Linked DNA regions of Sus scrofa. The protein of the gene in region 3 interacts with the protein of the main gene of each other region in a pairwise test. Links are inferred from orthologs where the notes say so. Each region holds a gene or a part of one and is shown on either strand. Other genes may lie near its edges.

What was found.
Region 1: the proteins of DVL3 (region 3) and WT1 interact in binary tests that used the Homo sapiens proteins (3 or more experiments, as listed by UniProt). The link is inferred for Sus scrofa from reciprocal best matches to the Homo sapiens genes DVL3 and WT1.
Region 2: the proteins of DVL3 (region 3) and BAHD1 interact in binary tests that used the Homo sapiens proteins (3 or more experiments, as listed by UniProt). The two-hybrid records come from large-scale screens. The link is inferred for Sus scrofa from reciprocal best matches to the Homo sapiens genes DVL3 and BAHD1.
Region 4: the proteins of DVL3 (region 3) and SYT6 interact in binary tests that used the Homo sapiens proteins (3 or more experiments, as listed by UniProt). The two-hybrid records come from large-scale screens. The link is inferred for Sus scrofa from reciprocal best matches to the Homo sapiens genes DVL3 and SYT6.
Region 5: the proteins of DVL3 (region 3) and CSNK1D interact in binary tests that used the Homo sapiens proteins (3 or more experiments, as listed by UniProt). The two-hybrid records come from large-scale screens. The link is inferred for Sus scrofa from reciprocal best matches to the Homo sapiens genes DVL3 and CSNK1D.
Region 6: the proteins of DVL3 (region 3) and KAT7 interact in a two-hybrid assay, tested with the Homo sapiens proteins (2 studies listed by BioGRID and IntAct). The two-hybrid records come from large-scale screens. The link is inferred for Sus scrofa from reciprocal best matches to the Homo sapiens genes DVL3 and KAT7.
Region 7: the proteins of DVL3 (region 3) and TNFAIP8L1 interact in binary tests that used the Homo sapiens proteins (3 or more experiments, as listed by UniProt). The two-hybrid records come from large-scale screens. The link is inferred for Sus scrofa from reciprocal best matches to the Homo sapiens genes DVL3 and TNFAIP8L1.

Annotation. Positions count from the first base shown.
Region 1 is NC_010444.4:28,452,967-28,456,466, reverse strand, and holds the end of WT1 (Wilms tumor protein homolog), read right to left. Parts: intron 1,885-3,500; coding exon 1,763-1,884; 3' UTR 460-1,762; downstream 1-459. UniProt on the Homo sapiens protein: Transcription factor that plays an important role in cellular development and cell survival. Recognizes and binds to the DNA sequence 5'-GCG(T/G)GGGCG-3'. Regulates the expression of numerous target genes, including EPO.
Region 2 is NC_010443.5:130,854,236-130,857,735, forward strand, and holds part of BAHD1 (bromo adjacent homology domain-containing 1 protein), read right to left. Parts: coding exon 2,982-3,500; intron 1,217-2,981; coding exon 834-1,216; intron 1-833.
Region 3 is NC_010455.5:122,085,851-122,088,484, reverse strand, and holds part of DVL3 (segment polarity protein dishevelled homolog DVL-3), read right to left. Parts: intron 2,543-2,634; coding exon 2,411-2,542; intron 2,257-2,410; coding exon 2,089-2,256; intron 1-2,088. UniProt on the Homo sapiens protein: Involved in the signal transduction pathway mediated by multiple Wnt genes.
Region 4 is NC_010446.5:106,471,317-106,474,816, reverse strand, and holds part of SYT6 (synaptotagmin-6), read right to left. Parts: intron 2,633-3,500; coding exon 2,512-2,632; intron 1-2,511.
Region 5 is NC_010454.4:789,359-792,858, reverse strand, and holds part of CSNK1D (casein kinase I), read right to left. Parts: intron 3,057-3,500; coding exon 2,917-3,056; exon of another isoform or gene 839-2,916; coding exon of another isoform or gene 806-838; exon of another isoform or gene 775-805; intron 1-774. UniProt on the Homo sapiens protein: Essential serine/threonine-protein kinase that regulates diverse cellular growth and survival processes including Wnt signaling, DNA repair and circadian rhythms. It can phosphorylate a large number of proteins.
Region 6 is NC_010454.4:25,998,657-26,002,156, reverse strand, and holds part of KAT7 (histone acetyltransferase KAT7), read right to left. Parts: intron 2,624-3,500; coding exon 2,530-2,623; intron 631-2,529; coding exon 484-630; intron 1-483. UniProt on the Homo sapiens protein: Catalytic subunit of histone acetyltransferase HBO1 complexes, which specifically mediate acetylation of histone H3 at 'Lys-14' (H3K14ac), thereby regulating various processes, such as gene transcription, protein ubiquitination, immune regulation, stem cell pluripotent and self-renewal maintenance and embryonic development.
Region 7 is NC_010444.4:74,216,604-74,220,610, forward strand, and holds the start of TNFAIP8L1 (tumor necrosis factor alpha-induced protein 8-like protein 1), read right to left. Parts: upstream 2,801-4,007; 5' UTR 2,747-2,800; coding exon 2,740-2,746; intron 1-2,739. UniProt on the Homo sapiens protein: Acts as a negative regulator of mTOR activity.

The DNA.
Region 1 (3,500 bases), on a different chromosome or scaffold from region 3:
TCAACCTGCTGAACTAATTTATAGCAACTACAGTTGCGAATTAGGTTGTGCTAGGTGTTCAGCTTATCCCCTTCTGACTGCAGTGCCTATCTGTGAACCTTTCCAAAAAGACCAGTTATTTCTTGTATTTCTCTGGTCTCCTCTGCTGACTTGGAACAGGAAGTGATGCAATGATAGCCAGATATAAATGACCATGGAAACAGAATTCCCCACCCCTGCCCTTATGCAATCACAGCATGAGAGCCATCGCTCTATGATGAGAGGTGAAAGCCGTGCTCTCTGGCTGCTTCTAGGACCAGTAATTGCCTCCTGAGGTTCAACGGAGAGAAACAAATAGTGGTCAGGACCTGGACAGACTTAACTAGTGGTCACTGATGTCACTGTCAGCATCTCACCTGCTTAGCAGAGCTCATCTGTCCTCAAGATTTAAACACAATACAGCTGATAGAATCTTACCACTTTCCTTTTGAATAGACTTTAATTGAGAGCGAAGTGAAAAATGCAGGTTACATTTTTAGTGTTATCATCAATATGTTGGAAGATCAACACCAAAACAGTGATGCATCTAACATTTATACATTTCCTAATTTTAGTTGTCAAGGAGCAAATCATTATCAGATAGATATATTTACACAATCATTTCAAGCAACAGTAAATAATAAACTCCCTCCCTTAAAAAACAAACAGAAAAACCCAAAAAACCACACATATACCCAACCACCTTTAAACAATGGATTTCCTCACACTAGCAAGTCTCATTTTTTTTTTTTCCACATATACTTGTAGACCCAAAGTTACTTAAGTTATTAGGAACAGTCTTATCAGTGGGAGATCCTGGACCAGCCCTTATTTCCTTTTAGAGTCACCTTAATTTTTAACAACTCGAAGCCCCATAACCAGCGTGGTCTGTACATTCTAAGGACACCCCCCAGATGATGAAAATGGATTCCACTTCCTTTGTGTGAGGAGATATGTGCATCTCTGAAGATGCCTATGATTACAACTCCGAAAAGTCAAGAAGAAACCCCCAAACAAAATCTCAGATCTTCAAGCACAGTTTCTTAAGAGCACTGTGCTCCTGTTAACACTGAGTTACACTGAATGGGAAGATTCCTTTAGAGATCTGTGCAGAGGTACTGGTTAGTGCTGATTCTTTTTTTCAGCTGCTTGAAATGCTGGCGTTTTCAAAGCTGCCTGGTGGCGCTACATCCTGCCTTCAGGTTAGCAGCCTGCCTAACCTCCGGAATGTCGGACGGGACTCACCCCCAGTGCCTTGCCCTCTGATTTATTTCTTGCTGTTGCTGTTAGTAAATGGAAACCATGACAAAGTTTACATTAGCAGACACATCCACATGCCCTGGCCTATAAATATTCTATGATGGAAAATGGTACAATGACTCCATTCCTTGTGAAAATGAGCGTAAAGGGAGACGGGGTGGGGGCGGGGGGATGGGGGAGGAACAGTATCAACCACGGCTCTTCTTACAGTGGAGGATCCAGACCACATGGCGACGGGCTTTTAACTAACTGGACACTGAGAGCCACTTCTCCAGGGCTCAGAGGTGGCCAAGCAGAGGGACCAACTCCTCCAGGCAAACCTGGTAGGATCCAGTGGTTCAGGCATCTTGTCTCGGACGCTGGATGAAGGTCGGCCGCCGTTTCCTTCTTTGAGAGGCGAGCCAGGAGGAATGTTAAAGTCAGCTTGCAAAGTCGTTCACACACCGTCCTGCCTGGACACGGAGCGGTGCCCGGGGTGGAGCCCTCAGAGCGCCAGCTGGAGTTTGCTCATGTTTCTCTGGTGCATGTTGTGATGACGGACTAATTCGTCTGACCGGGCAAACTTTTTCTGACAACTGGGCCACCGACAGCTGAAGGGCTTTTCACCTGTTGACACAATGGCCAGTCAGAGACACTTGCGGTGCAGAGATGGGGCACAAGTTATCAAAGGCCAGAGTTAAATCACCACAAGGCACCCACTCCAGATCCCCTCTAGCTCTTTCCTTAAGCTAACGGCTCGGGCTCGTCGCACGGGCAGTGTCTCTGGGGCCTTACGGATTAAAATATCACGAAAATTATAAAATTGCTCTTGAGTCAGACGATTTGGGGAATGGGAGCGCAGGAATGAGCGTAGTTATCTGAAATGTCTGGGCAAGTCATCTTTAATGGGGAGGGGGCAATATTTGGTTCAACGTCTGACACCAGACTGTAAATGTTTCCCCTTTGCTGTTTAAGGAGGGAACTGAGCTTCACTGGAAGGTGAGGGCCTTGGGCCCATCACCTTGGATACTGTTGGTAGATTGCCAGGTGGTGGCAGAGCTGCGACTGCAGCCTTAGTGTCTCTGTATAGGTCTTCTGGACGGGCTCGGCATCTTTAAATAAATCACTGGCATCAGCGCACATGGTATTTGCTTCTTTGCCTTAAAGGCTTACTCAGAGCATAATATCCATTATACAGAAGATTCCAGTTGAGGCATGGCTTTGAAATTTTTAACACGCTTGCCAAAAAATTGAGGCATCTTCATCTAAGGAGGCCTCAGAAGTTCCTTTCAAGCTTCATTTTGGATAAAGACAATTAGCATTTATTAAATGCCTAATAATGCCAAGCCTTGTACTAGGTATCGCACATACATATCTGGCCTTATTATGTATGTGTGTACACATACACGTACACACATCATTTTGTATTCTCCTTACAACAGCCTGTAAGGTGAGCGCTATTATCCCCATTCTACAGATGAGGCTGGACCACGAGTGAGGGCAGACGCAAGAGGACTTGCATCCAGGTCTGTCTGATTCCAAAGTCCACACACTTTGCTGCATCTCACCTCCTCTCAGCATAATGGACACACAGCCATGGCTTTATCCTAAGTAAAAATGTCACAGGAGCCAATGCCTGTGCCAGCAGAGGATCTTCTCGGGATATGGCTTGTCCCACACTTTGCCTTCTCTGAGAACCACCGGATGGGACAAGCACTGAGAAATGGCCCAGGGGAGGCACTGTCCCAGGGTCAGAACCAGGTGGTGGGTGGGGGGCGGGGAGAGCAATCAAATACAGGCCTCAGCAATCTGCCGGTGACATGCGTCACTTTGTACATATACAGAAAAGCACAGGGCGGGAGTGGGGTACAAGGGGAGATAACTCTTTCCCACCAAATTATGAGCTCAGGATTAAGGCAAAGAAGTGACACCAAAGGCACCTGAGCAGAGGAACAAGATGCCCAGCCCACCAGCTCTGGGGCACAGGTGCCTCGACTGTCTGTACATACAGCCTGTTGGGGCTGCACAGGGTTCAGGTCCTTGCATTTCCCTCACCTCCCACTCACTGTTGGTCTGCTCTTCCTCAGCTGGCTCCGGTGCCCCACTCTTCCCCCCAGCCACACTGTCCAAGGTCACCTCCTAAGGGGCAAATCCCCACCCTTCCTCCTGTTGGTCTCCATTCTCCTCAGTCTCTGGATGGACTTAAACTCTGCTGATCTTGGGTCTTTATTGTCTGTCTTCCC
Region 2 (3,500 bases), on a different chromosome or scaffold from region 3:
CAAAAGCAGTCTGCACTCTGGCTCCTCCTCCCTGAGCCTGGCTTTCAAGGGGAGGATGGGGATGGAGAAAGGATAGAAATAGGAACAGGGGTAAGAAAGTGGACTGAAGCTTTTGGGGCGGCACTCTAACCACCATACTCCCGACAGCTGGTTCTCTCGTTCCAAGCCCCCAGCACTGGGTAGGTCCTCAAGTTTCCTAATGAACAGTCTGGATGAGACTCTGAAACCGCTGTTGGAAGTGGCACTACCTTAGGCAAATGACTTCACCTACTGCTAAGCCTGTTTCCTCATCCGTGACATGAAGGTAGTTACAGGACCATGGGGTATGGACCTCACAGGGCAGTGGTGAGGATGAAAGCAGATAACGCATGCAAAGTGCTTAGCTTAGTTCTGGCACCTAAGAAGTGCTCAGTAAATTTTAGTCGACATTCTTTTCCTCATCCAGATACTCCTGTATCAGTCATTTTCTCTGCTATCCCAATTTCTGCCTATTCCTTTATATATTATCCTGAAAGCCCTCTGCTTTATAATCCAGGACAAAAGGGATGGCATGAACAGGGACAAGAGATGAAGACACTTTAGGAAGCTTCCCTGAGCATCAGTGACAGAGACGGCAGCCACCAGCTGTGACTGACTGTACATTCCCTGACTCCCCAAGGTGCAGGGCGCAGGATCACAAGGGTATGGGGGAGCAGGCTAGCCCAGGGTGAGGGGTTCCTGGGATACAAATGAGCTGGAGCCCCCATCCTCTCTGGAGTCCTCTACCTCCCTGCAGGTCCTATGTCTCTTCCAGCACCCTTCCCTTCTCCCCTTCAGTCAAGAACGGCACTCACCAAGACATAGACGGCCTTCTCACAGGCAGCCCCAACGGGCACCCAGCCGTTAGTGCGGCGACGGCGACGGCGGCGTGGGCGTGGACGCTGGACACGCGGCTGCTTGGGGTGGCTGGGTCTGCGGGCAGCCTTGCTCCGCGCTGTGTGCCTACAGCTGGAGCCCGTGCGCAGACCAGACTTGGAGCCACTAGGAGGCTTGGCGCTCTGGGGACAAGCTCGGGCTATGCTCTGGGGCTCCGAGGTGGGTGTCTGAAGATGGGGGACAGGCTCTGCTGCAGGTGGTACGCTGGGCACAGGGCATCCAAGGAGGGGGTGGGCAGGTGAGGCAGGGTGGCCAGCTTCCGGGAGAGGAAATTCCAGCTGGCCCAGGGACCTGCAGCCTTCTGGAAAAGGAGAGAGGAGATCAGGGCAGGTAAGGATCAGCAGTGACCTTCCCGGGCTCTCGGCTTCAGAGCCTGCTTCCATCTTAATTCTAAGCGTGAACCCAAGAAGCCACTGAGGTGGCAGGTGGGGTCAGAGGCCCTTAAGGTGGATTGTCAGTGACTGGCCAAGGGTTTTTCTTGACCTTGGAAACTGGCCCACAGACATCAACGCCACCCAAAAGAAGGGGAGGTATCGGGAACAGCATCTCTAGCCCTGGCTTAATCTTCCTTCTCCAAGGTTTCCAGTACTTTGGAGCAGAGGATCTGGAGTTAGCCCAGGATGTGAGTCCCAGATCTGCCATTAACCAGCTGTGTGACCTTAGGCAAGTCACTTTACCTCTCAGTGCCTTGCAATAGAATGAATATCATAAAGTGAGTTTCACAGAGTGTGTCCTGGATGTTTCTTTTATCAATATATGATCTCATCCTTACAACAACTCTATGCAGTAGGTACTATTACCTCCATTTTACAATTCAGGAAACTGAGACACAGAGTAGTTACCAGCTTATTCCACAGTCACGTGGCCAAGGAAGTGGGGAGAACATTTCACCCCAGGCAGTCTGGCTCCAGAGTCTGTGCTCAATTACATGCCATATGGCCTCCCATATATATATAAAGCACTAAGAACAGGCGCTTGGCACATGGTGCTTACTGGTGTCCCGGGGCACAGGGATAAGGGTCTTGGGTCCCATGGGTTAGAAGTCTATAGAGTTAGTGAGTGGTAGGAAAGAGGAAGAAAAGCCCAAGAAGAAGCCTACTCTCACTGCTTAGAGCTCCAACTCACACCAGAACCTGAAACAACCAGTCTGGCCAGAGTCAGGTGTCTATAAAGCTGTTTTATAGACCCCTTCAAGAAGAGGCGTGGAGGGGAGGGGAGAGCACTGGGAAGGCCTGGCCCTGCACTTCACCAACAGCAGGGCAGACCTACTGGCCAGGATGGCTCTGGTCCCCTCATTTCCATTCAGGAGCCAAGAAGGGCACCTGGAGAGGTATGAAAGGACACTCCTGCCAGTTTGGGGGAAGAGAGATGAATTAGGGGTGTCTCATCAGCTGCAGCATGACACTGAGGTAGTTGGATCTTGCCAAGAAGGTAGACACCAAAGCCACAGGCCCTGACTGCAGCCTGTCTGTTCTCTGAGGGTGCCCATCCTGTCCGCACCTAGCAAGGTGATGCTAAATCTGGGCGTAACTGCTCTTTTAAGGCCTGTATGGCCAAGGAGAAGCTGTCCTACTGCAGCTGGCACCACCTACCAGGCCTGGTACCTACCACCCCTCTTGTGCATGCTGAACTTGACTGACATGCAGATGACCTGGGCTCCTGGAAAGGAATTCTAATTCTTCTTGAGGAGGGCAGGAGGGACATGGGAACAACTTGGCCAAAGTGCTGCTTTCAACATTGAACTTGCTACTCAGAGTCTAAGAACAGGTATTCCAATGGGGAGGGAGGAGAGACCCTCCCTGACCATTCTACCATCATGCTGCCATGCCAAGAGGCCTCCAAGGACAGTGGTGACAGAGCAGGGCTGCTAGGAGCTAAACATAGACCTCTGTCCTGGGAACTTCCTAGGCTCGGGGCACAAAACTAGGGAAATCTCCCTTCTCAAAACCTCCTACCCTTTCATGCAGTAGGTATACCCCATGGAGTCCCACCCCAACCCAAGACCCACCCTTCTGGGATATCATGTCTCAGACTCCCTAGCACATCCCACCCCCAGGAAGGCGTACCTGCTGCAAAAGGCATTTTGTAGGGGCAGCCACCACAGGCAGTGCCGATGTGGGAAAGAGACGGGGACAACATTTCACAGATGCTGTAGCCATTCACTCCAGCGTCCTCACTGGAGCAGTAGCGAGAACCCCATGGAGGATGCTGGAAAGGGGTGCCAGCAGGCACTGAGCTCGGGGCCAAGAGAAGCCCCTCGTTAGGTGCAGCCACTGGGGACAGCTTGCCTTCAGGGAGCATGGGGCAGGAGGAGTAGCCCCCACACTGCAGCCCGTCTTGGCTGCAGTACAGGTAGAAGTTGCCTAGTGCAATGAGCTCAGGCCGACCATACAGGCCACTGTAGTCAGCGGGGTTACCAGGCATTGGTAGGGGGGACAGCTGAGGTGCAGGGAACGAGGGCTGGTGCAGTTCCTGCTTGGGGGCAGGCGACTCCTCGCCTGGGCGCCCGGGCTCTGGCTTCAGCGCTGCCTGCCCACCCATCAGCAGGGGCAGGTGGGGGCGCAGCCCCAAGGGGTTCTCCAGAG
Region 3 (2,634 bases):
CAGCTAGCGTGAGCAGTGGTGATGATCAGAAGCAGAGGCCTGCCTTGGTCACTACTTCAGCTGTCAAGCTGTCATCCCAAGGGGAGTGACTGTGTGTTCCTGGGGCTACCCAGGTCTCCAGCTCTTCCCTTTGAGTCTGCCATACTCCCAGCTGAGGATACTTCAGCCAGTGAGAACAAAAAGGCCTGTTCTGTCTGCATCTCCCTGAGCATGGCCTCTGGTGGACTTGGTCCATGGGCAGAAGACCCAGAATGCCCCTGGTATGGAACAGTGCCTTCTGAGCAAAAGCCACAGCTGTCCTGAGAAGCTTTATGTACCCCTGAAGGTTTGGGGACAGGGAAGACTTCTACTGGCCATGTCTGATCAAATTTAAGAAGCCAATAATTGCAAGATGCACCGCTATTTCAGAGATATTGAAATGTGAAAAAATGTTCAACTTATAATCAATTAAATACATGGTAAGTGGACAATTTTTTTTTTTTTTTTTTGCTTTTTAGGGCCACACCCACGGCATAAGGAGGTTCCCAGGCTAGGGATCGAATCGGAGCTGTAGCTGCCGGCCTGCGCTACAGCCACAGCAACACCAGATCCAAGCCACATCTGCAACCTACACCACAGCTCACGGCAACGCCAGATCCTTAACCCACTGAGTGAGGCCAGGGATGGAACCCGCAACCCCATGGTTCCTAGTTGGATTCATTAACCAAGTGGACAACTTTTTAAAGAGCACTTATTGTGGGCCAAACATGGTGCTAAAAGCATTACATACATTATCCTATATCATCCTCAAAACAGACCTATGAGATAGGTCTTACTGTTGTCTCCATCTTACAGACCAAGAAATTGATGCACTGAGAGCCTGTGTCACTTACCATGTTCATACGGCGAGGGTGGAGCTAAAATTTGAACTCAGAACTGTCTAATGCCAAAATCCTATGCATCTATCACTACTCCATGGGGCCATGCTGAAGCTGCTGAGGGCCAGGGACCCCATCCTCAGCCAGGGACTTGTGCTCCTCAGAAACAACCTTTCTCGTTTCTAGAACCTAATCTGAAATATTTTAAGAGTTAGCTTCTGGGAGTTCCCTGATGGCCTAGTGGGTTAAGGATCAGGCTTTGTCACTGCTGTGGTATGGGTGTGCTCTCTGGCCTTGGAACTTCTGCATGCTGCAGGCATGGCCAAAACAAAAAACAAAACAAAACAAAAGAGTTAGCTTTTGGATTCCAGCCAGCACCAGTGGGCTGAGAGAAGGTTGCTTCAGGCGGAGATGGTTGCTGGGGCTGGGTTTCAGCTCCCAATCCTGCGCACTGCTGTCCTGTTTTGAGGACTCTCCTTCCCAAGGGCAGTCCATAGGCTCAGGATAAGGGGAGTTCCCTGCAGACCTCTCCCATTTAATAACCCTCATTGGCTTTGCAATCGCTCAAGATCAAGTCCAAACTCCTCGGTACAGTTTGCAGAGTCCCTTACAACCTGGCCCTGACAGCTTTCCCAGCTTTAGCCCAAGGCAGAGCCCACCCTCAGGGGTCTGAGGAGGCTGTGGACTTGGGGCCTCAGGCCAGCTCCAGGTCCTGCCTTGGTGGAACCTTTTGGTGCTGTGAGGATTACCCAAGAAAATGCTTCTGCAGCACCACACACCTAGGACAACCTCAGACCATAGGAAGAATAAAAGCTCTGGAGCCAGAAAGTCAACTCAAGGCCTAGCTCCTTTGCTTCTAGCTGCGAAACCTGGGGTGGGTGGACTACTTAGCTTCTGTAAGTCTCATCAGTTTCCTCATCTTGAAACAGAGATAGTAATCCATGTGGGGAGGTTGTGAGGACTGACTGAGGGAGAGATGATGCTTTAGAAATAGTGAGCGCAGTGTGGGGCACGGAGCAGGCACTGAGAAAATGCCAGCCCCAAGAGGAGGATGCAGGGCAGTTGAAGAGGCTGGACAGGGCTCTGCTTCTACCATAGAACTCTCAGGTTGAGAGGTTCCCCCAGCTCTGCTGCCCCCTCAACTGGGTTCCCTAGAGTCTGCTGCCACATCCCTGGGCAACTCCCCACTCCCAACCAGGAGATAGGGCAAGGAGCGGGGGAGGCAACATACTGCCACAGAGGTCGCCGAAGATGTAGTAGCACTGCTCGGAGAAGGTGATCTTGTTGACAGTGTGGCGGATGAAGCCAGCTTTCAGCAGGTTGCTGGCATACTTGCGGGCCTCTCGCCGGTCAGTAAAGCCTTCCACGTTGTGGTACAGCCAGTCCACCACATCCGAGCCTGGGGGCAAGGCCACCACTTGACTGGGAGGCCCTCTTGACTTGGGCTCATTTGGCCTCACAGAAGCCATGAGGCAGGTGCTGGTTCCAGTGCAAAGGAGCGGCCCAAGGGGGTTCTTGCCCTGCCCACCACTCCCACCATGGGGCCCCCTCACCAATGAAAGCGTTGGGGATGGTAATCTTGAGCCACATGCGGTCACGGACTTCCAGCCCAGATTCAGGGGAGGCCATGGCTTTTACGATGGCAGCCATGTCACTGTGGATGGACAGGTGGAAGTCGTCTAGGCCTGGGGGTGAGACGCAGAACGGTGAGCAGAAAGAGCCTATGGAGTTAGGTACACAGGAGTCTGCATCCCAGATCTACCACCTAATAATATGG
Region 4 (3,500 bases), on a different chromosome or scaffold from region 3:
CACTGTGCTGGGCTGGGGGTCGACTCTGTGTGCTTGCGATACAGAGACGCTGCCAGTCTCCTCGTGTGACAGCAGAAACTCCACACATACCATGTCATTTAAACATCACATCAACTCTATATTTATCATCATCTCTCTTTTATAGATAGGGGAATGGAAGTTTGAGAGATTAAGAAACCTGCCTAAGATTTGAAGTTAGGCCTGACTCCAAAGTTTACATTTGTAATCCCTGGACAGAGAGCAGTATAGACCAGGGGTGGCAGAGATGGGCAGGCTTACCGACTTACCACCCCTTTGGGGCGTACTCATCCTTATTATTATTTTGTATTATTTTTATTGCCATAGTTTTAGTGGATAGGCTTAGAGAATTGATTCATGACTGGACTGGATCAAGGAGAATAGGAAGATGCTGGGTTTTAGAGGTCAGTGTCATATACATCAAGAACAGGCAATTAATGAGCTCCATGCGCTCCTTCGTTTAGTCTAACATCAAAGCGGTCTGAGCTGAAGGCAACCTCAGCCTTATCCTCTGAAACAGGAGATCTGGTGTGAGAGGCCCCTGGCATGTGCGTCCCCACAGCATCACCCTCTGACAAGGTTCCTTACGCTGTAAGTTTGTTCGTTCATTCATTCATCATTTATTCATCATTCAGTACATATTTATCCAGTGCTTATTATGTTCCATGCACTGTTTCATACGTTTGCTTCTATCAGTGAACAAAATAGATAGACAGCCCTGACAAAAACAGGACCCCGGGATTTTCAGAATGCAGCCGAGATTGAATACCAGATTCCAAAGTCAGGTAGAAAAGAGGGGCGATCTTGAGAGGGAGGTTAGAACTTCGCAGGAGAAAAATCTCTTGCCCCCCAACCCTCTGACGTGGAACAGCCTTTAAGATTACCTTGGTGGCTTTGCCGTAAGCTTTCTCTCTAGCCCATCAATTTAATTACACCAGAGAAGATAGTGTGGGGACTGGGGCAGCAAAATCCTATTTCCTTCAGCAGTCTTGAGAGTCCTCAGTGAATTTCCATCCCTGCACATACTTATTTTGATATTAAAATGAAATCTACATTGGCTGTATATTTAGAGGAGGCCCTGCTTCCTGCTGCCTCAGAGGTTTGCACAGTGTCAGGAGAGGTGGTTTGAGCTCCTCGCCACGACCTGGTGTGTGGTGGCAGCTTCAGTGGAAGGAGACGTGCCAGGGCAGGCACTGTCTGGGGCAGCTTTTGGCCTGAAAGACCTGAGTGTTGCAGAGACGCGGTGGGGGCTGGGAGCAGAGGCTCTGAGGGACTCAGAGCCGCAGCAAACACACCTTCCTTCAGCGTTTCTTGACTACCCTTCCCCGAAACCTCATTTTTCAAGGCCTCATGTCTCATCTCCTTCCAGCTGCGCCAGGTTGGGCCTGGGCCCAGATGTTTTCCAGCTGGACCGTCCCCGCTTCCTGGCCACTCTGATTATACTAAGGAGTTTTCCAGGAAATAATGAATGATTCAAAGGAAAAATCTTCCATATACTCTCCGCCAAGTTCAGAGGCACCTCTGGAGTGGATTTACATTGGTGATTGGAATCTTCAAAAGAGCCCCTTGGGTAGGGGTCAAAGAAAATAAACCCAGCCTTTCCCTGCATTTGCTGCTCTGAGTGCAGCCCGGCGTACGTGCCTGCTCTTTGAGGCACTCCAGCCCATTTCACTTCCTGGGCTAATGTGAGCTGACACAGGGATGGAGGCGCCAGGGACTCCTCTGTTACATCAGAACTCAGAAACCTTCTCTGACAACGACCTGCAGCATCGTGCAAAAGGATTAAGCCTGTGACACCACATCCAGCCTGCAGGCTCCGAGCTGCATTTAAACAAGCACCTCCTCGGTTGCTAGAACAGGACTTGCTTACTCCTGCTGTACCCAGCAGCTCTCCTGGTGCTGACACGGAGGCCCAGGGCCCTGCAGGAAAACCTCAAATACAAATGCGCTTTGCTTGTCATTGGCTCTGTTCCTTTGACTCAGTCTGCAGGGCTGCCGCAGGGCTGCGTGGACCTACAGACACTTGGACACTCAAACTTGACATAACCCTTGGCAGTCCCGAGACCTCACACAAACTAGAAAGATTTTTCCTTATTTTTTTCTATTTATTTACTTCTTCTCTCCATCATCAAAGAGAAAGAATGATAGTAATAGCTGATACCTACTGAGTGCTCATTATGTGTCTGACACATTTCTAAGCATTTACATGTTTATCCTTAAAGCAACCTGCATAAATTTTTTTCTTTTTTTTTTTTTTTTTCTTTTTCGTGGTTCTTTTTCATTTTTTTTTTTCTTTTTTTTTGGTCAGGAAACCAAAGCATCCCACAGCAAAGTGGCAGAACTGGCCTTCACAGCCAGGCCGTTTGCCTCCAGGGCTGTGCTCCTATCTAAGAGTACTGACGATTCTTCCCCCTTCTCTCTCAGCATCTCTCCAAATCTAAACATCTGGGTTGCCGAGAGGCCACGGGGCAGGCCCTCGGGGAGGAAAGGTACCTGAGTAGCCCGTGATGTCCATCGCCTTGAGGTTCCGACACTTGATCACCGTGAGGGTGAGCCTGCCTGCTGTGGGCAGGTAGCAGAGGGAGAACATGATCTCCCCCAGATCCACACTTTCCTGCAAAGAAGCAGACAAGAGAGCAGGTGAGGGGCACGCAGCACCCGTGGGGGCCCAGGGGAAGGCTCTCCGAGGCAGAGCACCGTGTCTTTAAGACCCGAGGGTCTGGCCTCCATGCTGGGAGTCCCAGGGTCTGTAAGGCAATGATAGCAATATTGGTTCTTCAGTAGAATTCGGCCCCTTCAATATGCCTTCTCAGCTCTGATCAGACTCGGGTCCAGGTCCTCCCCCTCTTGCTTTGGCCTCACCTGCCCTACCTCTGCCCCGTGGCTGCAGCCTCCAGATCACCAGGCCTTCTGGGGCTCACCACATTCTCCAGCTCACCCTTCTCGGTCACTGGTCCCTTTGAGTCCCTGCACTGCCTGGCTTGGTCAGTGTCCCTTACAAGATGCACTCCAGCCATCAGGATCCCCTCTCCCTGCAGATCTGCTGCTAGCCCTCAGCTCAGTCATTCTTTGTGAGTCCCTCTGCCTTGGCAGTTTTCTTGCCTCTCCCGAAACTCACTTGGTACTTGGGACTGGCCCAGGACCTGCTGCTGACCAAGGAGACGTCCACTCGCCATTCCATGTTTGGGCCAGGCCTTGGATCCACTTTGTCCTTAAATGTGGTCATCCTTCAAAAATGAACCCAGCTCGGAGCACACACTCTGCTGCCTCTCCTGCCCCCAGAAGCACCATGACCGGGGATCCCAGTACCAGCAAGCTTCTGAGCAGCAGGAACTAGGAAACTTCAGAGATGGGAAGCACGTCTGGCTGTTGAATTAAACAGCACCCTGCTGGAATGCCTCGGCGTCCTGCTCCCCACCTGATAGAGGAGGGTGCTGTCCCTGCCAACCCCCTGCCTCAGGCTCTGAGGCTGACATGGGGCT
Region 5 (3,500 bases), on a different chromosome or scaffold from region 3:
GCGCACCCCCAGCCGCTCCGGAAGGTCCCTCTAAGGCCAGGACACGTGCAGCAGAGAAAGTGACAGAAGACGGGGAGGGAAGGAGAGCCATGCAGGCGAGGAAGCCCGGCGGCGTGGGGCCGAGAGCCGGTCATCAGACCAGGGCCCGAGCGGAGAAGGGACGCTTGCTCCCAGCCGCTTCCTGGAAAGGAGCCTGCTGCTCTGAACACAGGACCCAGGCCCCGGTGGCCCTGGGGCTCCGGTGGGCAAGACCTACGAGCACTCCCCACCGAGACGCCCCCAGAGAGCAGCGCCCAGCAGACAGAGCCAGGAGGAGCCACAAGAGTCGCTGCCGAGAGGAGCAGCGTGGACGCCCAGCCATGCACCGACGGCAGGGAGCAGGCGGCTGTGGCTGATGGGTTAATGCAAACGAGCGCGTGGACGAGGTGCTGGGCAGAGACCGAGCTCGCAAAGAAAAGCAAACGAGGACGACAGAGGTCAACGCTAAGGAAGAGAGATGACAAAGCCGGGACAGCCGAGACCAGGAGTGTCTCCCGCAGCGAGAGCGCAGGGGCCCCCCTCCCCCTGCGGCCCTCTGCCAGCACGACGGGACGCACGTCCACACCAGCCTTCGGGGCCACGGGAGCCACCACCGGGCTCCCGCGCCCCACGCCGGTGCCAAGGGCCAGCGGACAGCTGCCCCGGAATCCGCCTGAGGAGAAGACCTGGGCCAGGGGCCTCGCCCGCTGGCGGCTCCTGGCATGCAAGCCCCCCACCCGGCCTGCGCACACTCACCCAGCGCTGCCTTCCGACGGGAGCCGTGCAGCTACTTGCCGTGGTGTTCGAAAGGAATGCTATTCTGAGGTGGGGGGAAAAGACAGCTGTTGGGGAGGGTTCGCGGCGGGACCAGCACGGAGGCCCCTCCTCCTTCCTCCTGCACCAGCGCTGCCTGCGCGAACCAGGCCCCCGGCCGGGCCTCTCCCCGCGGAGCGGCCTCTCAAGAGTGGTCCCTGGACCTGCCGACACGGAGCCCGCCCCCAGGGCTCAGGCTGTAAGAGGACGGGACCCTCGACGGCGGCCCCTCCATCGGCTCTCACACCCACGGCTCCCCGAGGCCCAGGCGCGCGAGGGCTGGACGCGGGGAAGAAGACCGGGCTCCGGGCCTCGGGGGGGCAGGGGAGGCAGGGATTCGCACAAGTCAGTCCCTGGCACCAGGAGCCGGGATCGTGTCCCTCGACAGCACTGGACGGAGGGGGCACTTCTCAGAGAAACGCCACCGCCAGGCTCGTCCGCCAGCAGCCCTCCGCCGTCTCCGCGGCACTCCAGCCACGACCAGGGACACAGGCCAACGTCCCCCCGCCCCCAGCTGAGATCAGCAGGCCTCCTCCCTAAGGGGCAGAGGCGGCTAGGGAAGTGGCCACCCCAGCCCACTGCGACCCTGCACCCCTGTGTCACCACCCCTGCTCCGCTCGCATCTCTGGGGGAAGAAGCCAGACCGAGCCTGGAACAGCCCTGATCATGGAGGCCCTTGGCGGCCAGGAACGGCGCCTGCCAGCAAGAGTGCCAAGGGATAGAGCCGTCCTGGATGGAGGGGACTGGGGCTGTGCCCTCAACGCAGAGGTCCTAAGGAGACCCCGGGGGGAAGAGGGACAAAGTGGAGGCGCCCCATCCTCAGAGCCACGGCACACGTCTTGGTAGGAAAGCAGAGAGAGAACAGAGAGCAGAGGCAGGCCCTCACGGGGAGACTGGGCAGCAAAGCCCAAGGAGCCGGCGGCAGAGGTGGTCGCAGACCCGAGGCGCTGGCGCCCCTGAACCCCTGGCGCTTCCTGATCCTTCCTTGTGTTAAAGCCAAAGCGAGGCCTGCCCTCCTTCGTCCCAGCCGAGGCGCTCTGGGCCCGTGCCAGGCCACTGAGGCGTGCATTCCAGGGCTCGTGGGAACACACCCGGAGGCCCTTTCTGTGTCCCGAGGGAGGCAGGATGGCTGGGGGCCGGGAGCCGCATGGGGCCGATCTCGAACCCCTGACCAGAGCCTCTGTGCCCCATGATTCCGACCAGCTGCGTCTCCAGCCAGAGAGAAGCTTAATGGGCGAACAGCAGCCCGTTTCCAGTAGAAGTGCCAGCAAGCGACAGGTGCCCTGTTTACTTCACGCAGTTAAGAAAACGTGGTCGGGGCACCTCCTCTGCTGGGCACACCCGCCCTTTGCCTGGCCAGCCGGCGCTGCAGAACCAGGCTCTGGGCACTTCGCACAGGCCCTGTGCCTCCAGATCAACACGCTCAACCCGCCAAATTCACCGACAAGCTACCCCCAGCAGACAGCATGGGGTGACCCCGGCCCCACGGGACACTGGCTGAAGCAGAGAAGAGGCCCACCTGGACCATTCTTCACCCTGCCCGCCTCCTGCCACCCACGCGCAGAAGACCTGCCAGCACGCAGGCGAGGAGTGGCGCTGCTGGGCAGGGACAGCGAGCAGAGCGAGTGGGCACAGGGCGTGGCTAGAGAAGACATGGCGCCGGGCGCCTAGGACGCCCTACAGTGACTGCCGGCGGGCGACAAGGGCTCTCCGCGGGGGTGGAGCGCCCGGCTGACAAGAGCGAGGACAGAGGCTCGAAGGCTGGGCCAGGCGCGCTGCAACACCAGGCGCCCACAGGCTGGGGGCGTCCGCCCAGGGAAGACGGCGCAAGAGAAGAGGCGCCAGCGGGCGTCCCAGCACAGCCAGGGCGCAGCCTGGCCCCAGAGCTCGTCCCTGGGGCCCTCAACCGAGGGCCCCACGGTAGCGAGGGACACGAGGTCCCCGGCAGTTCAGACGCTCCGAAGAGGGAGAGCGAGAAGGATGGAAAGCAGGAAGCCTCCGAGGCCGTCGCCCACTGCGGGGGCCGCAGGACCGGCGCGCAACGCGGCTGCGGAGCGCAGGGCCCGGTGGCGGCCGGGCGCGTACCTGTGAGGTGGACATGCGGGAGGTATCTTGCCGGCCCGTGAGGTCGGACGAGGAGATGTTGACGGGGGCCCCGCGGTGCAGCCGCATACTCACTTTCCGCTCTCTTTCCATGCCGGACACGGGCCGAGGAGAGGTGTTCGCTGGAGGAGAGGGAGACAGGGCAGCGTGAGGCCTCAGGACGCGGCCCCACACTCCGCGAGGGCCTCTCCTCGGGAGCCGTGTCTCACGAGGACCCGCGGCCACGGCTGCGCCGGCGTCGGGCTGGGAGCGCTGTTGCACCCGGACTCTGGGCCGGCCCTGCGTCGGGGCCCTGGCAGCACCCAGCTGACTCCTGGGAGCCAGGCGTCCAGCGGGAGGGCGGCCGAGGCGACGGGCGAGGAAGAGAACGGAGGGGTAGGTGGTGGGGAGGACTCAAGTCTCGAGACGAGCGAGACGACAACGCGGAGCTCCCGGGGGGGGACGCAGCCCTTCAGGAGGCCAGCACCCGCCAACAGACACTACCAGCCGCCCGGGCACCTCGGGATAACAACCGACGGGGACGGGGACCTACAAGGTCACACGCTGGCGCGGCCGGAGCAACCGAC
Region 6 (3,500 bases), on a different chromosome or scaffold from region 3:
TGCTCTGGAATCCTTAGGCACCTTTAGGGAGGAGCCCATATTCGGCCGGCCTTCCACTCGCACATCTAGATGGAACACAGAATGGGACATGACCTTTGCAGGTTACAAAGCATGAACAGGGCCAAGGAGAAAAGCCAGAATATTCAGTGGAGCTAACATCTTGGGTAACAATCATTCTCGAAGAATCAAAAACCAGCCTTTGAGGAGTTCCCATTGTGGCCCAATGGTTAACGAATCTGACTAGGAACCATGAGGTTGAGGATTTGATCCCTGGCCTCACTCGGTGGGTTAAGGATCCGGTGTTGCTGTGAGCTGTGGTGTAGGTCGCAGACGTGGCTCGGATCCCACGTTGCTGTGGCTCTGGTGTAGGCCGGTGGCTACAGTGTTGATTCAACTCCTAGCCCGGGAACTTCCATATGCCGCGGGAGCGGCCCTAGAAAAGGCAAAAAGACAAAAAAATTAAAAAATTAAAAAAAAACCAACCTTTGATAGAAATCTCTTTGCCTTGGAAATTATGCAGGTAACGAAGAAGCACTTCTTTCCAGTAACTGCGATAGCTTATGAGCCCCAGATCTGAAAGCGGACGTTCTGGGGAACCAACTTTTTCTTCCACTTTGGAAAGCAAATAACCTGCCACGGAACAATACAGACACTGTATCTCATCCTGTTAACAACGTACCAACATGGCAAAAGATTTAAGGTGTAGAGTCTGCTTTGCAATATCAATTAGGGTTCAGTCATTTAATGCGATCCTACGTGGCTGCTGTAGAGCGGGCTGCCTTCATATCAACAAAAGGGGAACAGAACACATGCACACTTACTTAATAGACATTAAAAACAACTCTGGAAGGCTTCACTAGAAACTTACCAACAGTTATTTGAAAGTAAGTGTTCAGAACAGGTGGGAAGAGATGGGAAGCCGATTCACTACACAGCTTTTAATCTTTCAAACTTTTGAACTTGAAGAATGGATTATCTCAGCACTGCCTATGAAATACTGGCAGGGGGTAGGGGACAGACACAACCTGAATCTCACAAAGTCTCTAGTTTTAACGTCCAAACATGTAATTATCAACATCTGGGGGATGCAGTCAGCAAAACTCATACTCTAGGAAACCAGCAGATAATTAATCTGCTTTCTTAAATAAATAGTAGAGAAAAAAAAAGATGGAATAGGAACTTTTATATTAAAGGTGATTCATAAGATACATCTATCAATCCCAATATCAGTTCTATCTGGATTTGAGTTAAAAACAAACAGATCTGAAAGCGGACAAACAAAAGAAAAAACCCTGCAAGCCTTTTTGGCCACACTCGTGGCAGGCAAAAGTTCCCAAATGAGAGACTGAATGTGTGCCGTATCAGTGAGCAGAGCCACGGCAGAAACAATACTGGATGTTTAACCCCTAGGACATCAGGGAACTCTTTTTAAAAAAAAAAAAAAAGAACAGGAATTCCTGCTGTATTTCAGCAGGTTAAGAACCCAACTAGCGTAGTTCCCATTATGGCTCAATGGTAATGAACCCAACTAGTATCCATGAGGATGTGGGTTCCATCCCTGGCCTTACTCAGTGGGTTAAAGGATCTGGCATTGCGATGAGTTGGGGTGCAGGTCAAAGAGGCAGCTCGGATCCAGAGTTGCTGTGGGTGTGGCAGAGGCCTGCAGCTGCAACTCTGATTTGACCCCTAGCCTCGGAACTTCCATATGCCACAGGGGCAGCCGTAAAAAGAAAAAAAAAATCAGCAACAAGGAGAGTTCTTGCTGCGGCCCAGCAGGATCAATGATGCATCTGGAGCGATGGGACACAGGTTTGATCCCAGGCCTAGCACAGTGGGTTAAGGATCCAGCGTTGCTGCAGCTGCCGCCTAGATTGCAACTGCCATCCCAAGCATCATCTGATCCCTGGCCTAGGAACTCCACATGCTGCAGAGGGGCCAAAAAATAAAATAAAATCAGCCCACAAAAAGCACAAAAATATGAACGTGGCACCAAGAGACTGTGAAGAGGACACTTGCTTAAACAGAGAGCCAAAACATGACACTTTGACCTCATCTGAGAATTAACTTTTTTTTGCTGCTGGGTGTCATGTGTGTTGATTTGTGGGTTACAAATCAATTTCAGAGAGTTAAATTTCCAAATACAGAATCCATCATTAATGAGACTCAAAGCCTCTACCACGTGTATGGACTGCCTCTAGACAAGTCTTAACAAAACTGAAATCCCTAACATCAAATTTGAAGCCTTATGAAGGTGTGTGCTATTCCTACGTCTCAATTGGGATTTCTTTTCTATCCTCTATCTCCTCCCACCATTAGGGACCAACGCAGGGTCCCATATTCATTCAAGTGTTCCATGTCTATCAGGCCAAACTAAGAACAACATTCAGATTTCTCTACTTACTCATTCACTTAATACCAGTGTAATTCCACTACATGGCAGGAACTGTAAAGAGCACAGGACAAACAGGCAAACAACCATATTCACAAGGCCCCTGCTTGTGGAACTTAGGACCTGGCTGTTTCACTTACTGAAATCAATGAGCATCTTGCCATAGCCCTGTCTCATGTACTGAGGCATGGTAAGGATACAGGATACATTGTAGTTGAGGAATGAATTCTTTTCCTAAAATCAAGAGCGAACAGATGAGCAGGCGATGAGAATTTGGAATCCAAGGTGTCAGGAGTCCCACAGATACAAAATACGGCCGCTTGCAAAGTATATGCTAACCAGTATGGCCGCTGGCTAAGGGCTGGTACATCCCCACCCTTTACAATGACCCCAGGGTTTCCCTAGCCAAGTCCTCCGGTCTCATCTTACGGTGGCTGACTCTGGGTTCTTTATAGGCACAGAGCAAAGCAAGATGTTTATAGACTGCTGAGTCAGTCTAGAGCAGCCTTTTTAAAAGCGGTCTTTCCAAAGGGGACATGCCTACTGGAGAAGCGAGGGATCCAAAGAGTAAATCCTCATTCTGGAAGGGGGGGCGAAACATGATTAAATCACATATTGTACAATTCCAGTTACATGACATGCTCAGAAAAGGCAACCTTACAGAGACAGTAGGGCTGAGGGGGACTGAGTGGAAACAGGGAGTGACTGCTTATGGGCAGGGGGTTTCTTATACTGAAAACCACTGCAGGAGTTTCCGTCATGGCTCAGTGGTTAACGAATCCAACTAGGAACCATGAGGTTGTGGGTTCGATCCCTGCTCAGTGGGTTAAGGATCCGGCGTTGCCATGAGCTGTGCTGTGGGTTCGCGGCTCAGATCCCGCGTTGCTGTGGCTCTGGCGTAGGCTAGTGGCTACAGCTCCGATTGGACCCCTAGCCTGGGAACCTCTATATGCCGCAGGAGCGGCCAAAGAAATAGCAAAAAGACAAAAAAAGAAAAACAAAACACCAAAAAAACACTGCATTGTACACATTAAACGAGTGAATTGTATGGTATGTGAATTCTCTTTCAAGACAGTTGTCACTTAATAAAAATCATAAGCAAAGCCTGGCC
Region 7 (4,007 bases), on a different chromosome or scaffold from region 3:
CTATCTGGCCCATTATAGAAAAAGGCTGGCCAACCTCTGGATTAGATGATCAACAGAGCAATATATCAAGCCCTGATCTGTGGCATTTGCCAATTTCCATGGTGTAAATTCTCCCACCACAGCCAATTTCAAGCTTCCAGCTTGAACATGGAGTTGGGAAGAACTGCTCACCATTTCCATCAAAAAAATAACCTCAAGAGCATCGCAAAAAGCAGTAAAATAAACCAGAAGTTGGGATTTTTGATGATTTATGTCCTAGGCTTTTTTATAATGTGTTGAAGTATGTAAGTCACTTATGATAAAATTCACCCTTCCAAAGTGTACAATTCAGTGGTTTTTATATATTCACAGAGCTGGGTAACCATCACCACTGTTTAATTCTAGAATATTCCATCACCCCCAAAAGAAATCCCATCCACATTAGCAGTCCTTCCCCATCCCTCAACCCCAGCCCCTTGGCAACAGCTAATCTACTTTCTGCCTCTATGGATTTGCCTATTTTTCATATAAAAAGCATCACACACTGTGTGATTGTGTCTGACTTCTCCCACTGAGCATCATGTTTTCAAGATTCATCCATGTTGTAGCAAGTGCTAGTCACTCCTTTTATAGCTGAATGATAGTCCATACCTTTGTTTTAAATATAATGTATTTGTAAATTTAGCCTGTCATTTAAAAAAAATGGATTTTTTTCTTCTACTTGTATTGATAATCTATCATTTGAAATAATGGTGATGTTAACAAAAGCGGATCACAAAATTCCTGACAACATAGCAAGTGGCTCTCGTGAGCCAGGGGGTGAGCTGGCTCTGGCATGTCTCTGGTCCATGGAGCAGCCCAGCCTCCGCATGAATTCTTCATGCCCCAGTGAAGGGTGTCAATAATTGATGGGCCCATTCAGCAAGACCAAGCCGGCCCTCCTCTCCTCTCTCAGCCCACCCCAGGGTGGCCCACTGTGGGAGATGCCCCCACGGCCCTTGTCCCCTGCACTGTACCCTCTGCCAACATCAGGGCACCCGCTGCTTCGGGCTCTTTATCAAACCTCACTCAAGTCTCCCAGTCGGTGCTCAGTTTGATATGGCCAAAGGGGAGGGGGGAGGACCTGCGTGTCTGAGGTGGGGGGTGGATACCAGCAGTCCTCAAACCTGGGTCCCCAGAGCCCTTGGGGGCCATCCCAAGCACGGTCTGGCTGCCTGCCAGGCTGCAGTGGGAGCTGGGATAGTGGGTGTAGGCAAAAATGAATATTTGGAAACCATGGCCCAACCCACTGCAGAGAAAGACAGGCTGGGACTAGGCTGAGCAAAAGATTTTTAACAAAAGGTAGAGGAGGCTTGGGTCACTCAGCAGGAATGTGGATGCAGCCCCTAAATGAGTCTGGGCTTCACCCACTTCTCACCTCTTGCTTAGCCTCCATGCCTGTCACCTGGCTCTTGCCCTCACCCCCTACAGTCTGTCTTCTCTGGAGCAGCCACCAGAGGGTACCAGTGAGCACCTAAGTCAGGCCCTGGACCTCTGCCCACAGCCCTCCAGGCATCCCAACTTCCTCCAGGTAGAAGCCCAAGACCTCCCAGTGGCCCACAGGCCCTGCACTGCCTGCCCCTGGACACTACCAGCCCCCACCTCCTCCCTCTCTCCCCCTTGCTCGCTCTGCTCCAGCCATGTGGCCTCCTGGCTGTTCTTCCAACACACCAGGCATGGTGCTGCCCAGGGCCTTTGCATGAGCTGTCCCCATTGCCTGGATTGCTTTTCCCCCAAAGTCTCCACACGGCTGTTTTTTTCTAGTCTGTGAGCTTCAGTTCAGATGTCACCTCCTTAAAAGGCTCTTCCAGATCCCCCATCTTAACTAAATTCCCTATCCGTCTGTCTCCATTTTTTTCATACAATTACAATTAAGCCTAATGGCTTTTCTGGATGAATGTCTATCTCTCCCAACTCCCGTCTGTGAGCTGAGTTGGGGTGAGGAGAGACACCAGATTAACCTTGGTCATTGCAGGGTCCTGCACCATGCTTGGCACACAGTAGTGCTCAGAACCTGTTTGTTGAATGAATAGATTCCTTCAACCTCCCAGCACCAGAGGGGCACAGAGTCAGAGATCTTCTCCAAGGGTTCCAATGTCCAGCCAGGGAAACTGAGGCCCAGAGAGAGACAGATATCGCAAGATCACATAGCAGCACAGCACAAACAGTTCTGGAAGCCCCCCTCCCCCCAGGTAGACATTCCCCAAACTCCACTACCCCATTGGACAGAAGGGGAAACTGAGGATGGAGCCTCAGAAGATCCCAAGGACTCAGCCAGAGGTGCCGCTGTGAAAGCTCAGGTGGCAGGATTCTAGGGAAAGTGGTCTCATGGAGGGGTGGGTAGGGGAGATTCTGGGGTAAAAGCCCAAGTTCTCTGATACTGGGCCCAGTCCTGCCCGTTTCTACATCCCCACCTCTCAGCCCTTAGTACCTGGGGCTGAACCTGCACCAGCATGAGTCAATTATGCAACATCTGCCTCTGGGGCTGTTTCCATGACAATAGCTCGAGTTTTGTCCTACGTACCCTCTTGTGGCCCAAGTTAACAGTCAGGGGACACTGAGTCCTCCTGAACCTACCACATTGGATCACCAAGCATCCAAAAGGTCCCTCACCTGCCCAGGCCTCACCTGACCTGCCCAAGGCCACACAGTGGGAGAGGAAACTGTGGGGCCTCCAGTCTGTACCTACTTGACTGGTCTCTTTGCTTAGGGACCACCTACCTCCCATCCAAGTGGGGTTTGGGCCCCCAACCTGCCCCTGCAGTGGTCTGGGCACTCACCCACAACCGGCGTCCCAGGCCACCAAGGCTGCCAAGAGAAGCTCAGCCCAGGTGTTTGTATGGCTGGGGTGACAGCTCTTTGTTCTGGTTTCCATAGGTACAGCGTCCCTGGGCCTGCCCTTCCTCGGCCCCTCCCAGATGCCCAGCCCTAGCCTTGCCAGTCCCTTGGCCCGGCCCATGTAGACAACCTGTTGTGTTTTAAAGTTGGCGCCTGTGCACCTGGCATGGCGATAGAGGAAACAGCCCACGCAAAGGCCCTGAGGCAGGACTGTGCCTGGTGTATTGGTGGAATGTGGAGGCTGGTATGGCTGGAGCAGAGTGGGGTGAGGGGGAAAGCTGGAGGAGGTGGGGGCCAGGAGGAGACATGCAGGTCCACATTCCTGCAGTTAATCCTGGAAGCTGCCCTTACCCCTCGGGAGTTATGTCCCTCCGACAGGAAACTGAGGCTGGGAGGTTCGAATCACTTGTTCAAGGTACCATCGTGAAAATGGCAGAGCAGACCCAGGTTTGTCTCATTCCAAAGTCTGAGCTCCCCAACCACTGGGCTAAACTACCCTGGCCCTGGCTGTAGCACCCCAGGGCATTCACCTCTCCCCCCTGCTCAGGAAGTAACAGAGGCCTGTTTACAGGCAGGGCTGCCCTCCTCCAGGCAGGCCCCCCGGAATAGAGGAGGTGGTGATGCATGCAGATCTGGGTCAGGTCAACTGCCAGTTACCTCAGTGATGAAGGTCCCAATTCACAGCTGGCAAAACTAAGGCCATGGCTTCAGGCCATTGGGGAGCTCCAAGGTGGCCAGTTCGGGTGGGTCTGACCCTGGCTCTCAGCTGCCAGGACCAGCCGGAAGTCCCACTCATTGTCACCTCCACGCCTTTGGCCTGGCTGCCCACCACCTGGAATGCCCTCCTAGCTCTGGAATCTAGCCCTAGCACCTGGTGCCCTGCACTGTGAAAGGGGCAGAGTCCATCAGAGTCCTCGTGTTGGGGGGAGGAGGGTGCTGGTCCCAGAGCACCACCCCATGCCGTGGGGGTCAGTTCAGACCCGGTCTGCTACCGCCTAGCCCACACAGCAAGAGAGTGACAGAGACAGCAGGAAAGGGAGAAATGGGGAGGGAAACTGAGGCAGGAATACAGTTAGAAAGGGGGGTGCAGGAGCATGGGGGGGAGAGAAACAGAGAAGACAAGTGGCCCCCGAGATTCTCCCAGATGGGGG